2 linked regions of the Lonchura striata genome follow. The protein of the gene in region 1 interacts with the protein of each later gene in a pairwise test. Links are inferred from orthologs where the notes say so. Each region holds a gene or a part of one and is shown in the gene's direction. Other genes may lie near its edges.

Region 1 (8,059 bases):
TTTCTTGTTCTATGTGTATTGTAAAATGCACTCCAGGGTACTCTAATTTGCTGTGTTAGCAGATTAGCAAAACTTAACTCATATCCATTTTTTAAATGGCCGCTTTGGTGGAAAATCTTACAAATGAGGGATTATCAATCTGGAAGTGTGTTTTGAATGTTTTGTGAAGGTGAATGAGGGAGATGTGCATTGCATCTATATTTGAGTGTGGATTTACAGCAGTGGCTTTTGCTTTCCTTCTTCCCCTTTCCCTTCTCGTGTTCAGCCTGAATGGCTTTGCCATTGCCTTCCCTGGTGTCCGATTTGGGTTCCTGTGTCAAACCTGGCTTGCAAGGCTAGGCATGAGCTTGGGTGGCTCTAAGGGGTATTTTCAGTAGCAAGCTGCCACTGAGCTCGGCGCTACTGCTTTGGGAGGAGTCCCAGTGGAGTGCTGCCCTCACATTTTGTTTCTTACAGCTGGGTCTGACTGGCACATTCGCAGCCTCGCTGCCCCTGGAGTCCAGCTGCCTCAGGTGGAGTTCTTCACAGAGCCATTCCTAGGAGCTCCTTTCCTTGGAGTCTTGATTCAAAAGGTAAGATTGGAGAAGAATGTAGGCAATTTTCCTCTTAGTGGTGGAAGTACATGAAGCTATAAATGGAACTGTTGCTGCTTGATAAAACAATCACTCCAAAAGTTTAAAAAAGTTAAAACGCTGGCTTTCTTAGCCAGCTTTCCAAAAAAAAAAAAAAAAAAAAAGAACTTTTAAACATGATTAAAAAAATCTGAATATTAAAAAAAATCCTGAATATTCTAAATATTTTAATTGTCATGGTCTTATCACTTCAGGCTAGTAGCTGAAGTTCTGCAGTGTGTTTGCATATTTTCCAGATATGAGAAGCCACTTTGGAATATTGGAAAAGGAAGAATAAGATGTTGTATGGATGCTATTAGTTTAAAAAATTTAGTTTACCTCCTGATACTTTGCTGGAAGTTGCACTTAATTGAAGGAAGGTTTGTGTAAATGTATGTTTATCGCACCTCAGTGTGAAAATAATAAGTTACTGCACAATTTAATGTAATTTTAAAAAAATTCCAAAATATTACAAAAAATATTATAAGAGAGGGCTACAGGAGGGCTGTTACATTCAGTGTAACATTGTGCATATTTCAAGACCCTTATGTGTGCACCTTTCTGTTAGGTTCAGACCTAGTGAAGCCCCAGAGATACCCAACAACAAAGAATTAGGCTATGTGACAGGCATTTAGGAGGAAACCATAATGAATTCTTACTGTTTTCTCCTACTTTGATCAGTGTTGGGAAATTAATTCACCTTGGAACAAAGTTTGGTTTTTTTTTTTCTCTTTATGGCTGCTCTTCAGCCAGATGGTTTTGAGTTGAACTGTGGGCAGAGGTCAGAATGGGCTGGAACGTCCTTAGGCTTTATTTCTGAAGCTGTTTCACCAGAAGTGCTTTAACAGCTTTGTAGGGGTTTTCTGCTGAGCCCTGGTGTGATTTGAAACCAGTTGGAAGAATTGATAAAGGAAATAGGGTGCTGTGCAGCAATGGGAACCCCACTGGAAGAGTAAATCTGCATATTGAGGTCTGTCCATGTTTGCAGGCATGGTGTGGAGGGATTGTGGCTTTACTTAAGTACTATTTTCTGTCCCTTTTCATTAGATTGTGCTGTTGTATGTGCTAAGGAAGCTGCTTGCCAGCATTCAAAGTGAGGCACTTTCTAAGAGTCATTTCTCTCTTATTTTCATGCATATCTCAGAGTCAATATGTTTTATATATATAAGTGTCAGTCACCGTCACCATTGCTACTCTTAATTTTGGGGTTGTTTTGAGCGTGTCTGTAAGCAGTGGGGAAGAAGAAAACTTCTAGAATGCTAAAACACTATTTAGATCACTGGACAAAACAATTAATGCAGACCCTCAATGAAATGGTATGTGATGGTGAAGCATCCTGGGGTAGGCCATGGGTAGGAAACAGCCAAATCTGTTGGCAAAATCAGAAGCAGCTCTACAAAGAGAAGAAACCCTGGTTTTTTACCTCTTTGCAGTTGAGAGTTGAGACACATATTTAAAACGAAACAGCAGAGTGTAATGCTGTAATAGATAACTGTCAGCAAATAGCAATAAGGGGAAATGGGGAGCTGTATTTAAAGTAAATAAAATTTGAAACCTTTTAGTAGCACCTCATGGAATTTCTATTATTGTCTATTATTTTAATGAGTTGAACAACATCCTATTTTTAGTGGAAGGTCAACTTGAACTTTATTTGAACGGGGTCTCTGGTTCTGAACACAGATAGGAGCACGTTAAATGTGATAACAAAAGAGAAGGCTTGGAGCCAGACCTCCTTAACCTATCGTTAGGGGCTCAGATAGCCATCCATGTAAGAACTGTGTGCCACTTAAATGGAGAGCAGTCCTTGTTCTGGGCTCAAACTGCACGCAGTGAAAATAGCACTGAGACTCATGTGGAAGGATTTTGGGGTTTCATTTAAGAATTTAAAATAGATCCAAAAAATAGTAATGATTATTTTAAAAAATGAAATGCTGCCATCTGATGTCACACCACTTTTTTGTGTGTTATTTTTTTTTTTTTTAAAGTAAGTGCTTTTTCAGTTTCTTAAATATTAGAACTCTAGTTTTCAGATGAAAAACTGCGGTACCTGCCAAAATGTACATGGAAGAAATGTTACAAACATTAAAGTATATCTAGCCTAAGCAGTATTATTTTAATTCTGCTGTCACTCACAGTTGTGCATATCCAGTAGAACTCCACTGTTGAGTGAAATTATTTTATTTTTCTGGTAGTGAGATACTGTCAGGTTCCCAAGTTTCCATGTTATACTTCACTGGGAAGATGTTTCTTGCAGTGGCTGTAGGTTTAAGGCAGTAGCACATTTTTTGGATAGCTGTTGTTTGAGAAGCAGTCCTGAGTGCCAGTACAAAGCCAAAGGCTGTGGAACTGCTCAGGCTGTAGGATTCACACTTCTGCTGGAACATCTCCTGGAATTAGTTGGTGTTGCAGCTGGCTGAAGTGTGTGCATTCACCAGTGGAGGGGTTCTGATAGGATGTTTAAGGCAGATGGTTTCTGGCCTTACTAGGATGAGCAATACTAATATCAGGGTAACCTGAACATAGGAGTAAGAATAGAGATGATGTTCTATAGAGTTATGGTGTGAATTGTTTCTGAAAGTGTTTTACTCTCCTCAGCCTGCTTTTTGGCCTTGATTAAAGAAAGTGTGGGTAAGGTACTTCAGTGTTGTTATGGTTTTATTCCAGTACTCTGCCACTGGCATTCTCTCTCATCTTGAGTAAATAATTTTTCCTCTGTGATTCTGTTTCCTTCTGTGATACTGGAACACAACCTCTGCTTGAAACAGTGCTTGAAATAGAAAGCACTGTAGGAAAAGAAAACATGAGTACTAAACAAGGAAAAGAGAGCTCGTTCTGAGTGTTATAAATCTGGGAAAAAATCTGAAATTTTTATCTCACTAGCTATAAGAAAGTTTTCACGAGACAAGTTTGTTGAGGTGCAATGCTTTATCCCACCTCAAAAGTTTTTGGTTTTTTTTTTCATAAACCTTAATTAAACCTTTTAATGTCACTACTAGGTCAGTCATGAACCATTGCTTGCCATGGGGATTCTCCAACACCCATAAAGAACTAGGCTTACACTGTTTTCTTGGTAGATTGATTGTAAGGTATGATATATCACATTATTTATGTTGAGAACTGTGTTGAAGAACTTGGTGGAAGTCTTATATTCTTGTGAATTTTAACTGCTCATCAGATGTGGATTGAAAAAGTGCTCTTGGGAGATGGTAAACACAGGCAGAATTGAAAGGAAATACGAAAAAAAAGTGCTATGTTTTTTTGGTTTTAATTTTTGGGGCTGCGATTAAAAAAAATCTTCCAGTTACTTCATTGCTAGCCTACACCTAAATGCAAAGCCTGTTTAAATAAAGTAGCTTTATGTGAATTAATGTTATTAATGGGTCTGAATCTTGCCACCGTCTCCTGCTCTACTTGTGGTGTCTGTGCATTAATAGACACGTGTCTTGTTGCTAGTGGTAAGAAATGATGAATTCTGAGATGGTTATAGAGCAGCCTGACAGCTTTGTTTGGAAATTTAAGTAATTTACCAGGTGCTTTATAGACTTTACCTGGTGTTAAATGGGCCAGGTCCTTTGGAATACTGCTCCATTCCAGAGCATGGTCTGGCCTACAGAGTACAAGTACTCTGCAGTAAAACAGTGTGCACTTTTCTTTGCCTGAACTACAAGCTTTTAGCATCCTGAATGTCTTATTTCATGTGTCAGCTAGCATTAAAGCAAAATGTGGTAATTGTTTTTTGTGGCTTTATGAAGTCTGATTTGCACTCTCTGTACTGACTGTAGCAAAAAGGCTAACAAGTTATATTATCAGAGTGCTGTTGGTAACAATTAATGAAGCTGTAGAGGAAATACTGAAATTAAGAACAAATAGTAAAAAAAATCTGTTATGTATTCTCAGAAATGTTTCGTATCTTGGAAATCCTCAGGTGCCCTGTCCATATGTATCTTGGTAAAAAATACAGATCCTGACTACTTTGTTTAAACATTTCTTCATTTTTTAGAAGGCAATAGGCCTTTGCATTTTCTGAAACTGCTAGGATAATATATTGTGTGTCATTGCAGGGTACCATACAATAGTAAAAAAACAACAGAGAAAACAATTTTGGTGCCAAGTTCTGTGCAAGAGCTTTATGAATCCCTTTGCTGTCCAGCTCAGGAGTCTGAGAGTGAGTCACTGCCTCCAGACTGAAGTTGGCATACAGTCAGAATGTATGGCAAAACAGTTGCTGTGCTGGAAATTACAAGAATTATCACAGGAAGTATAAGTAATTTAATGCTTCGTGTCCTCTAATTGTTCAAAACCTTCTCAGCTCTAAACTTTTTTGCCGTGCTTATGCTCTCCAATACAGCTTTAAGGATGCCCATCCCCCTGCCAGCCCTCCAGCCGCCGCTGTGTGCTGTCAGTCATCCTGAAATACACTGGGAGCTTGTCAGGCTGTCCCTTGCAGATGCCTCAGGAGCCCCATAGCGAGCCAGGGCAGTTGCACTGAAGTTCCTAACCCAAGGAAATTTCATAGGCACTTGCTTTAGTGCTGCATATGGACCATATGTTTTCTAGCATAGGTGAGTGACGCTGTTGGCTTTCTAACAATCTGGCAGGAGATGGATTCTAAAGTAAAGGTTTTCTAATTTATGCAGAATGTCTTTGGCTCTGCTTTCTGACACTTATTAGTTAATGTCTGTATACAGTGTACTTACAGATTCTAAAAAAAAAGCTGCAGGTGCTACGTTCACGTTGCATTGCAGATGGATATAGGCTTCGGCTGGTTTTCCAGTGTCTTTTTCTTATTACACCAAAAGACTCAATAGTTTTGTATTATCTTGAGGTGGGGAGCATTTGGTAGGAGTGTGCAGATGGTTGGTTTTCTGGCTGTTCTGGGACACAGCTATATCTTGTAACACATGCTTAACATCCTAAGTGTTGTAAGAGCTGCTGGTGTACAGGGCTGAGATTGCCTTCTGTAAAGGTTAATCTAACTGAGTGTGAGGTTATACAGCCTTTTACCAAAACATCTCGCAGTTAGGGCCCCTGCTGTAGTTAGGGGGATGTTATACTGGAGTAGACAAATACAGTTAAAAAAAAAAAAAAGGAAGGTGGAATGTTGATTTTAATATTTTTCCTGAGGCAAACATCAGATTTGTCATCTTAATGAATATGATGCGGAAGGACAGAAGTTCAGTTAGTAAGTGGAAATGCCAGAGAAAATCCCAGGATGATCTTTACTGACTGTATTTTCTTCCTATCGCCTCTTATCCTTGCCTTAATTAAAAAGAAATAACTAAAGAGTCCAATTTAAATATTGATTTAGCCAGTATGGTATATAACAATAAAGAGAGCCTGGTAAGCTAAAAATATGCAGTCAGATTATCAAAATGATTTAAGATCTTGTGGTTTTTGCTGCATTGGCTTGCAAAACTGTTTCCATCTTTTTAGAAACAAAAGGAGGTTTCAGGAAGCATTAGAATTTTACTTAAAAAATATTGCTGGAATCAGCAAGTGAACCCTTAAGTGAGCTATTTATAGCTTAAAATATAATTGAAATTTTCAGAGACAATAGTTTTTGCAATTGACTTTCAGTTGATGACTCGTTATGGCCTGACTCAAGGCTAAAAGCTATTATTGCCTTAACTGGCTTTTGAACTCAGGGCTCAAGCAAAGAATAAAAATGCTGATGTTAGACAGTATGCTAAGGGTAAGAAACAAACAAACAAGCAAAAGCCACAGAACAACCCAGAATAGGGAAAGTCATGACACATGGATTCACATTTTTTCTGACCTGCAAAAATGGGGTTGGATTTGTAATACTTTCCAAGTTTGAGAGTGCTCCAATCTGTGGTGGGATTCTGGAGCACGGTGGTCCTATAGTAACAGGAATTTATTACTTTTAATTTAATTACAACGACATATTTATCTGCTAAAATTTAGAAAAAGATCTGATGATTGCAGATAGCATGTAGCAGAGGAGATTGTGCTGTGAGAATGGAGAGCAAGCAGCAAAAAGGCTTAATTTCTCCATTTTGAGTAAAGCAGGTGCTGAGGCCCTTTATCAAGGAATTTATCAAGGTTTAAAGCGTAAGTGTATCTGCAGAAAAACAACCCGATTCACCTCGTGGTTTCTTTAGGGCTCAGCAGGAGCATGAAGTACAGTTCCCATCCCGTTTACCTGTCCCCTTGTAACTGATGTATGTCTGACCAGAAAAAAATGCACAGCACAGTCAATACCATCTGTTTGCGACTGTTATGATGGATTTCAAGAAGTGCCCATAGTTTGGGAGACTTGTGAAAATATCAAAGATAAGGGTTGGTACCCAGCACCATCATAAAGATTTATTATTTTTCCTAGTGTGAATAAAAAGCAGATTCATTGAAATATTGGCCAGAGATTTAGAAAACCAGTGAATTACAGGTGGCAGAAAAGGATCTGTCTTTTCCAGCGTGTGTAATGATGCGGTTTGACGCAATCCCAGTGAAACTGGGGGACAGTATCTTGTTGAATTTAAATGCTTTTTGAAGGAGGGGTGAACACAAGGAAAGGGCTCAGGAGCTGCTGTGCCGTGTGTTCAGAGGCCTCCCCTGGGGACCTGGAGCTCGCTGCAAGTGCAGGGATGACAGACATTAGTGGCGTTCAAAGCTACTTGTTAGTATCGGACAGAAAGATTTAGGGGTCTCAGAGTTTGTTTCCTTGGTGTTTCTTGAAAGTATCTAAATGTTAAATATGTAAAATATGGGCAGATAATTTGCTTTGACATTTCCAGAGTTCTCTTTCCATTCATATCTGTGGAAGGAAAAGTGTTTTTTTCTGGTCGGTCTGATCTCAGGTTTCTTTGTCTTTTGGCTCAGAATTAAAACTGAAAAATCAGTTCTTTCCAAATGCTACCTCCTGGCTGGATGCAGCTGAATTTTTTTGGAACTTAGCTCTGCCATTAGTATAGTTTGTAGTTAAAGATAAACTTGGCGCTTGGGTAACCTTTAATAAGAATGGCAAAACCCTAAATTGCTTTATACCTTAATTCTTTTATTGCTCATATTATCTTTGCTTGTAAGTGAAATGTGAATAACCCTCCAGATTAATATCTACACCCCTTGCTATAGGAACCCTAAACCTACTGTGTTTTATTAAATCAGTGCCAGGTTCACTGGAAGGTGACACTATATCTCTTCAGCCTGCACAATTGCAGTACCGAATTACTACATTGTACAGCAGCAGTGGTTGTAATGAGTTTTGCTTAAAAAGGACAGATAACCGTTATTTGTGTATTTGAAGTCATTATTGGCTAAAAAGGCTTTGCCAAGCTGTATTTTATAAGAAGGTAAGGTACTGTGAAATTTAAAGTGTCTTTTATTTTGGGACAATAATCGGTTGCAATCCAGCTAAAGCAGTTATAATTCTTTGTTGACACACACACACATTTCAGGCTAATGGCCTGAGTCATGGCCCAGTGAACTTG
Region 2 (7,163 bases), on another chromosome or scaffold:
TGGGAGGGGTGTCACCCCCGTGTCAGCTGGCGCTGTCCCCGCAGTGAACGACGTGCAGGACGCGGTGCGCAGCGTCTCCAGCTACATGCTCTTCGACCCTGGCGACACCGTGATGCAGCAGAACCTGGTCTACTACCGCTTCCACCGCGAGCGCTGGCGCCTGCGCGAGGAGGACTTCGAGCCACGGCCGGTGAGGACCCCCCAGCCCCGTCCTGTGGCCCTGCACTGCCCAGAGAGGAGCTGACCCAGCCCCTCTGCCCCTGTGCCCAGGAAGCCGTGCGCTACCACAGCCAGACGGCCGCCCAGAAGGAGATGCTGGAATTCGCCCGGCAGTACCTGCAGGATGATGACGATGAGGTACCTGACACGGGATGCAGATGGTGCTTTTGGGGGGGCTGGGTGGTGTGTGTGGGTGCTGCAGGGACCTTTCGCAGATGGGGGGGGTCTGACCCCCCCAAAGCAGTCCTGGAGCAGAGACTGCAGATGAGGCTGCCGAGCTCCTCTGCCTCCTCCTGCCCTCCTGTGCTGCAGATGGAGGTGGATGGTGGTGAGGGGCCAGAGGTGCTGGACCTGCCCTCCGATGGCGAATTCGAGGGCGAAGGTGACTACGAGGAGGGCTTCTTCGCAGAGTGGTGGCAGGAACCCAAGACCAAAGGAGACAAAGATGACCAAGGTTCCTGATACAAAGGCTGGGAGTTGTGCTGTAGGGTCGGGGGGTCTGCTGCCCACACCCCTGGTGCCACCAAACTCTCCTTGTTTGCAGAGATCCTATGATGAGCCAGGTGAAGGGGGAGCCAGCAGCACCAACTGAGCTGGATGGTGGTGACTCTGTGATGCCATCTTGGGGACATCGGGCTTCAAGCTCCTCCCAGCCACCGGTAGAAACTCAAACTCATGGGGAGGGGCCAATCCTGCCTTGCATCCTGCGGCAGGACTGCTTTTGCCACCTGGATGTCTGCTGTCCTGGCACAGCCCAATTCCCATCAGTGGAACACCAGCATCCCTGAATGTCCCTGCCTGCCCAGGAGCCTGGGCTACCCCCACCCCCAATTCCGCAGGAGCCCTGACCAGCAGTGATGCCCCACAGCACTGGGGTTTTCTGTGTCCCTCAGCTGCTCCCCAGAATCTCTGGATGATGCACCAGAATTTATCCCTATCTTTTCTTGAGGGGCTTGAAGGGCTGCCCCTACTTCGGGAGCAATGCACAATGCTGCTGGAGCTGATCCTGCCCCTTCCTGAGGCTCCCTGAGGCTCCTGTTCTCCAGCCTCCCAGGCAATCTGACAGCTCCCATAGCCCAGGTCCCCTTGGACTCCCTGGCCTGGTGCTACAGGGGGCTCCCAGTGTGCCATGTCCCCGTGTCACCATGGGGCTGCAGCCTGGTGAGGCTGTGGTGCCCATGCCCTGCCTGTGCCTTGAATTTTTGCCACACCAGCCCTCTCTAGCCTTAAGCTCAATTAATTTAAGATTTTCCCTCCTGCACCGTTGCTCTTTTTATATATTTACTGGTGCTGAACTTTTAATAAAATCCAGACTGGTCTTTTCACGGCTGCCTCCACTTTCCATATGCTGCTGCCATGGGATCCAGGAGACCAGGGTAGGAGAGGCTCTGCTGTGAGAGAGGAAGAGATCGGTTCAGGCCTGGATGTCCCCAGAGATGACCTGGGGGAACTTGTGGGGCTGGGGGCCCATGGAGGCCATGACAGCAGCCAGGCTCCTGTGAGGCTCTGGGTCCCATGAGGGGGACCCCAAATGGGATCCATGACCCCCTCATTGAGTCTGTCAGGTGAGGTGGGGGGGGAGCTGCAGGGGGCTGGAGGGCAGCATGTCCTACCCCATATGGGTCTTTGGGATGTCATATCCATGAGCTGATGGTTGTTTTGGGGTACAACACTGTGACACTGCTCCTGGATCAGAGGGTGCAGCCTGGATCCCCCGATGAAGGTGGGCATGGCAGGGTGGGATGACTTCCTCCTGCCTGCATCAGGGTGTTTGGGGGCACACTGGGGGTCTCTGTTGGTGCTGACAAACCTGTGCCAGTCCTAGGCACGAGGCATCGGGCAGTGTGTGGCCGCTCACTCCTCCCTGCCGGGTTGCTCGGCGTGGAAATTGGCTACGAGGACTGAAACTGAGAGGCTGAATCACAGCGTTGGCCCCGGGGGAGGGAAGGGATGGGAATGGAAGGAAGAGAGTGGCAAGAGGCTGCCAGCACCCCACCCTGCCCTGCCCGGAGCCCCTGTTCACCGAGGCTTTTCCAGCTCTGCAGGGCACTGGGCGGGGGGCAGGGGCTGAGCCCCCAGACCCGTGAGCAAAGCTCAGGGCTCGGGGAGGCAGTGCTGGGAGGGAGCACCCACTGCACCCTGCACCTCACAGGGCTGTGCTGTCACTTGGGAGGAGCTGGGTTTGTCACCGATGGGGCACAGCCACCTCGGGAGGGGAGTGCCAGCCGGGTGGGGTGTGGCCAGCGGCACTCGCGAACGGAGGAGCGGAGAGCGCTCAGCCCAGGGCTGGCACCGCAGCCTAGGGGACAAAGGCTGCGGATCTTCCCAACAGCTGGGCGAGGGTGGCACTGGGCCCACGGGGCCTCCGCCCTGCTCTGACACACACCCGGGCACCCTCCCCAGCCCCACACTCACGAGGAGAAAACAGCTCCCTGCTCCCACTGATCTACTGGCACCGGGCAAAGCCCCTTGCAGCTGCGAGCTGGAGTGCCCGGGGTCCCTTCCCTGCTCCCACCTGAGCCGCTGGATGTGCAGGATGTGCTGGATGGCTGCATCCATCACCCCGGGAGTGCCAGGCAGGAGCAGCATCTCTGGCAGTGCCGCTGTGACCTGGCGTGGCTGTGACCGTGGGCACGGCCACCGTCCTGTCCTGCCGAGCTGCGGGCAGTGCCAGGGGCGCAGAGATGGGATGCGGGGTGACTGACGGGGGACACGGAGGAGTCCTGGGCTGCAGGAGAAGGGCTGCAGGGAGCGATGGGTTGGTTACTTGGTGAAGGCATCATCGCGGTCCCCTCGACCTTGACCAAGAGGGGAGCGTGGATGAGATGTCTGCTGCCGCCTCCCCTGCGCTGTGCCCTGCCGTGCCGTGCCGTGTGCCCATTTCCCTGTGCCGAGAGCTCTCTCGCTGCGCTCCGGATCTCCCGCTCAGCGCACAGCCATGAATTCCCTTCTTCTTGCAGAGGCGGTGGAAGCTCTGTCTCTCACCTTCCTCCGGAGCTGAGAATCCCCGCCTGGCAGCGCTCGCTGCCAGACGTAGCAGGGAACCGTGCAGGCAGCGGGGGTGCACGATGCTCCCTCCTCATCCTCACCGGGGCAGAATCCTCCTGCTCCCCCACACCTGGGGGTCCTGAGCTGGGCTGGGACGTGTCCAATGGATGACTCGGGCACTGGGTGACGGCGGCTTAGCCCGGGACGCGGCAGCAGCACCCGGCTGGACCGGTCCGGCGGGGACCGGGCTGACGCGGCGCCAGCAGCCCCGAGCCCTTCCCGAACGCCGCTTCCTGTCGCCCCCGCGCTCCTGCCTCGAGGGGTCCCCGCACGGCCCCGGGGTATCCGCACAGCCCGGGGGTCCCAGCATGGGCCGGGGTTCCCCGCGCGCCTCGGGGGTCCCCGCACAGCCCGGGGGTCCCAGTATGGGCCGGGGGTCGCCGCGCGGCCCGGGGGTCCCCGCACGGCTCGGGGGTCTCCGCACGGCTCGGGGGTTCCCGCACGGCTCGGGGGTTCCCAGCACGGCCCGGGGGTCCCAGCACGGGCCGGGGGTCCCCGCAGGATCCGGGGATCCCAGCACGGCCCGGGGGTCCCCGCGCCCCCGGCCCTCAGGGGCGGGTCCCGGCCCCACCTGGCCGCGCCCACTGACGTCACCCAGGTGGTCCCCTCGTGGTCTCGCCCCGCCCACCCCGCCCCGCTGTCCAATCAGCTGCGGGCAGGGGGCGGGGCGTCCGCGCCCCCGCCAATGGGGAAAGAATAAACACGTCCGGCGGGGGCGGGGCCCGGCGGGCCCAGTGCTTGATGGGCGTGCGGAGCATCCAATGGCGGAGGGGCGGCGCGGGGGCGGGGCCTGCGGCGGGCGGGGCGGCGCGCGGGGCGCCGCTCGCCTTTTGTTCGGGCAGGAGCGGGCGGGCGGCGGAGAGCGACGGTGAGCGGGGCCGGGGCACCGGGCACGGGCGGGGAGGGACGGTGAGTGGGGCCGAGGCATCGCGCACGGAAGGACGGTGAGTGGGACCGGGGCGCCGGGCACGGGCAGCGGCGGTGAGCGGGACTGGCGCGTCGGGCACGGGGAGCGACGGTGAGCGGGGCGGGGCACTGGGCATGGGGAGCGACGGTGAGTGGAGCCGAGTCAGGGCGCGTCGGGCGTGGGGGAGCGGCGGTGACCGGCAATAGGCCGGCTGAACCGGGCAGAGGTCACTCCGGGTCCGCAGGACCGGGCTGGCGGAGGTCGCGGCGGGGAGCGGTCCGGTGAGCAGAGTTGGGGCGGCCGGGACGGCGCCAGGTCCGCGGCCGTCCGTCGCCGTCCGTCGTTCCGGGCTGGGCTGCACCGGAGCGGCGGGGACTCCGCCGTGCGGCGCTGGGGAGCGGCCGCTCTCGGGGCGGGGAGGAGTTGGGTCCGGGCCGGGCAGCACCGGGCGTCCCGGCTCGGCCCCGCTGCCGTCGTCTGGGGCAGAGCTGGCCGTGTGCTGCCCGTGAGCTCGGCCGGTCCTGCGCGGCACCGGCAGGGCGGGTCCCCGGGGCTTCCCCCATGCCCAGCTGGGCTGTCCCGGCCCCTTCCCGGTGCCGCGGGATCCAGTTTGGGAGTCGCGGATCCGCGCTCCTGTGCGAGGCGGTGACTCTGTCCCCGGCCCCGCCCGGAGCTGCCGCGGAGCGGGCGAGGCCCTGGCACGGCGCTCGCCCGGTGCTGTGGGGCTCTTACGCAAACTGGACTGCTCCGTGCCCAGAGTCACACCTGGGGACACCGCGTGCTGCTCTCGAGGCCGCCTCGGATCGCTTCGACATCGCCGTCCCTACCCGCGGGGCCGGGGCTGCCCTCCGCCCGCCACCTGGCGTGGGATGTCTGGGGGCTGAGAGGGATGCGGGTGACCTGACATCACCCAAGACAGCCCCCCGCGGGTGAGGGGTGCTGGGCACAGGGCTCACAGGGCGTCAGGGTGACCTGACATCACCCAAGACAGCCCCCCGCGGGTGAGGGGTGCTGGGCACAGGGCTCACGGGGGTCCCAGCTGAGCTCCTGCCAGGGACATCCGCACCGCGAAACGGCGGGGGGAGTGAAACTTGGCTGTTTGTCTGATGTTTAGAGAGGAGAGAGCGCTCTAATTGCGTTAGCTGAGTGATTAGCATTAGCTTAATTAATCAGGTTTATAGCACAGATGAAAGGATAATGCTGAAATGTTGCTGGGAGTTGCCCGGAGAAGGCAAACGTGGGCTGCCATATGAGCAACGTGGGGCGATGTATGCCGGGAGAGGAGCGTGAACGCTCAGGAGGGCACGGCTGCTGCTGGAGACGGGACAGGGTGACCTGTGCCACTGTTGTGCCTGCCCGAGTGTGAGGGCATCAGCCTTCACCCTCTCCAGCCAGGCTGGAAGTTCCTGCACCCCCAGCTTCCCTGTAACGCTGTTGGGGTGCCTGGGTGAGTCCTGTGTCTGGTTTCACGTTCTCTTGTCAACTTCCCCATCCCAGAAGGGTGGTGGGGGCTGGGGACACCCTGTGACACAGCCCCTCAGTCGCTTCACCTCCTGCTCCAGCCCACGTCGTGCTGGTTTTGGCGCTGGTGCCAGCCCCGAGCGGCTCTGGTGTCCGTCTGGATGCGCTGGTGGGGAGCCGGGGGCGCAGCGTGTCCCTGCCAGCTGCCGCGGGGATGGGGCTGCAGCGCTGCCGGGGGCGTTTGCTCCGGGCTCTCAGCCGCATCCAGGGCAGGTGCAGTGTCCGCGGGGGCTGCTCCAGGCTCCGCTCCCGGAGTGTCCGGCCCAGCCGGAAACAGGGATGAGAAAATTATAGGGGTCCATTTCTGTGTCCTTGTCGGTGTCGGAGCTGGCTGGAAGGGTGCAGGGCACCCACTGGGACTGCGTTTGCACATCTGAAGCCTGTTATCGCTCATTGTTTTGGAGGATTTCCATGAGGTGTCATGAAAAACCCATTTTTTACTGCTAATTTGGCTTAAACAAGTTGGCCATCAGGACGGGGACGCACAGGGCTCCTGGCAGCGGTGGCTGAGGATTGTGCTCCCTCCTTGCACTGTGGCCGCTGTGCGGGAGCAGGGACAGACGTGGGTCCCCGGGGCTCAGGGCGCTGGGGAAAGGTGGGGCGGCCGTGCGGGGCCCTCCCTCAGACAATGGCGTTACAGCCTATTGTCTGGGCGGTGTGCCGTGTCCTTGCCGGCTCCAGGAAGCGCGTTCATCCCCGGGAGGGGGTGGGGGGGACGAGCTGGGCTGCTGGGAGGGGTCTCCTGGGGCTGGGTGTGCGAGTAGTTTGTGCCACCGTGCCTGGAGCCTCCGGGGCAGCGCGGGTGAGTCGTGGCCGGGCTGCAGCCGGGGGCCGTGGGGGATGTCCCCGCTGCTCCTGGTGCCGCATTTCAGTGTATCATTCGGCGCTGCCCTAATCCCATTAACTCACCCCTTTGTTTTCCCCCACCTGAAACCCTTACTCAGCCCTCGCGGCCGGGCAGGCGCTGCGGTACAGCTGCACGGCTCCTGCAGCTCAGCCCGTTCCCGGGAGGACGGCTTCCCTTCAAGACTGTGGTTTGCTGTGGGAGCGCTTGATGGGATTTGGCTTTTTATCACACTTCCAGATCTCCGGGATTTCAGACGGCGCTTTTGCCGGGCGCGCTGCCGCTCGCAGATGGCAGAGCCTGGGAGCGAAGCTGCCCTTGGCCCCGCTCCGCAGGCTGGGGGAGCAGAGCCTCTGCACAGAGAACTTGCAGAACTTTAATTGCAGCATCTGTACCGACGCTTGTGCTGGTTTTGAAGGTTTAAATTATACTGGCTTCTAATTAACAGAAGTTAAAAAGAAATGTAGTGTCTGTTACAGCAGTACAAGTCTACCTCTGAGTTCAGGTGCTGCTTCCCCACCTAGACAGGGTGTGTGGGCACCCAGCATCACCCAGGGCTGGGGTGGGTGGTCAGACTTAGTCCCGTGGGGTGTCCCAGGTTGGTCTTTTTGAATGGAAATGGCT

Evidence for each region. The genes of interacting proteins can lie anywhere in the genome.
Region 2: the proteins of CTNNA3 (region 1) and JUP interact in binary tests that used the Homo sapiens proteins (3 or more experiments, as listed by UniProt). The link is inferred for Lonchura striata from reciprocal best matches to the Homo sapiens genes CTNNA3 and JUP.

The regions. Positions count from the first base shown.
Region 1 is NC_134609.1:35,368,542-35,376,600, forward strand, and holds the start of CTNNA3 (catenin alpha-3), read left to right. Parts: upstream 1-5,035; 5' UTR 5,036-5,148; coding exon 5,149-5,173; intron 5,174-8,059. UniProt on the Homo sapiens protein: May be involved in formation of stretch-resistant cell-cell adhesion complexes.
Region 2 is NC_134627.1:6,608,829-6,615,991, forward strand, and holds the start of JUP (junction plakoglobin), read left to right. Parts: upstream 1-4,068; 5' UTR 4,069-4,135; exon of another isoform or gene 4,136-4,211; intron 4,212-4,349; exon of another isoform or gene 4,350-4,455; intron 4,456-7,163. Other genes in the region: P3H4 (endoplasmic reticulum protein SC65), read left to right, coding at 45-190, 271-357, 532-673, 764-774. UniProt on the Homo sapiens protein: Common junctional plaque protein. The membrane-associated plaques are architectural elements in an important strategic position to influence the arrangement and function of both the cytoskeleton and the cells within the tissue.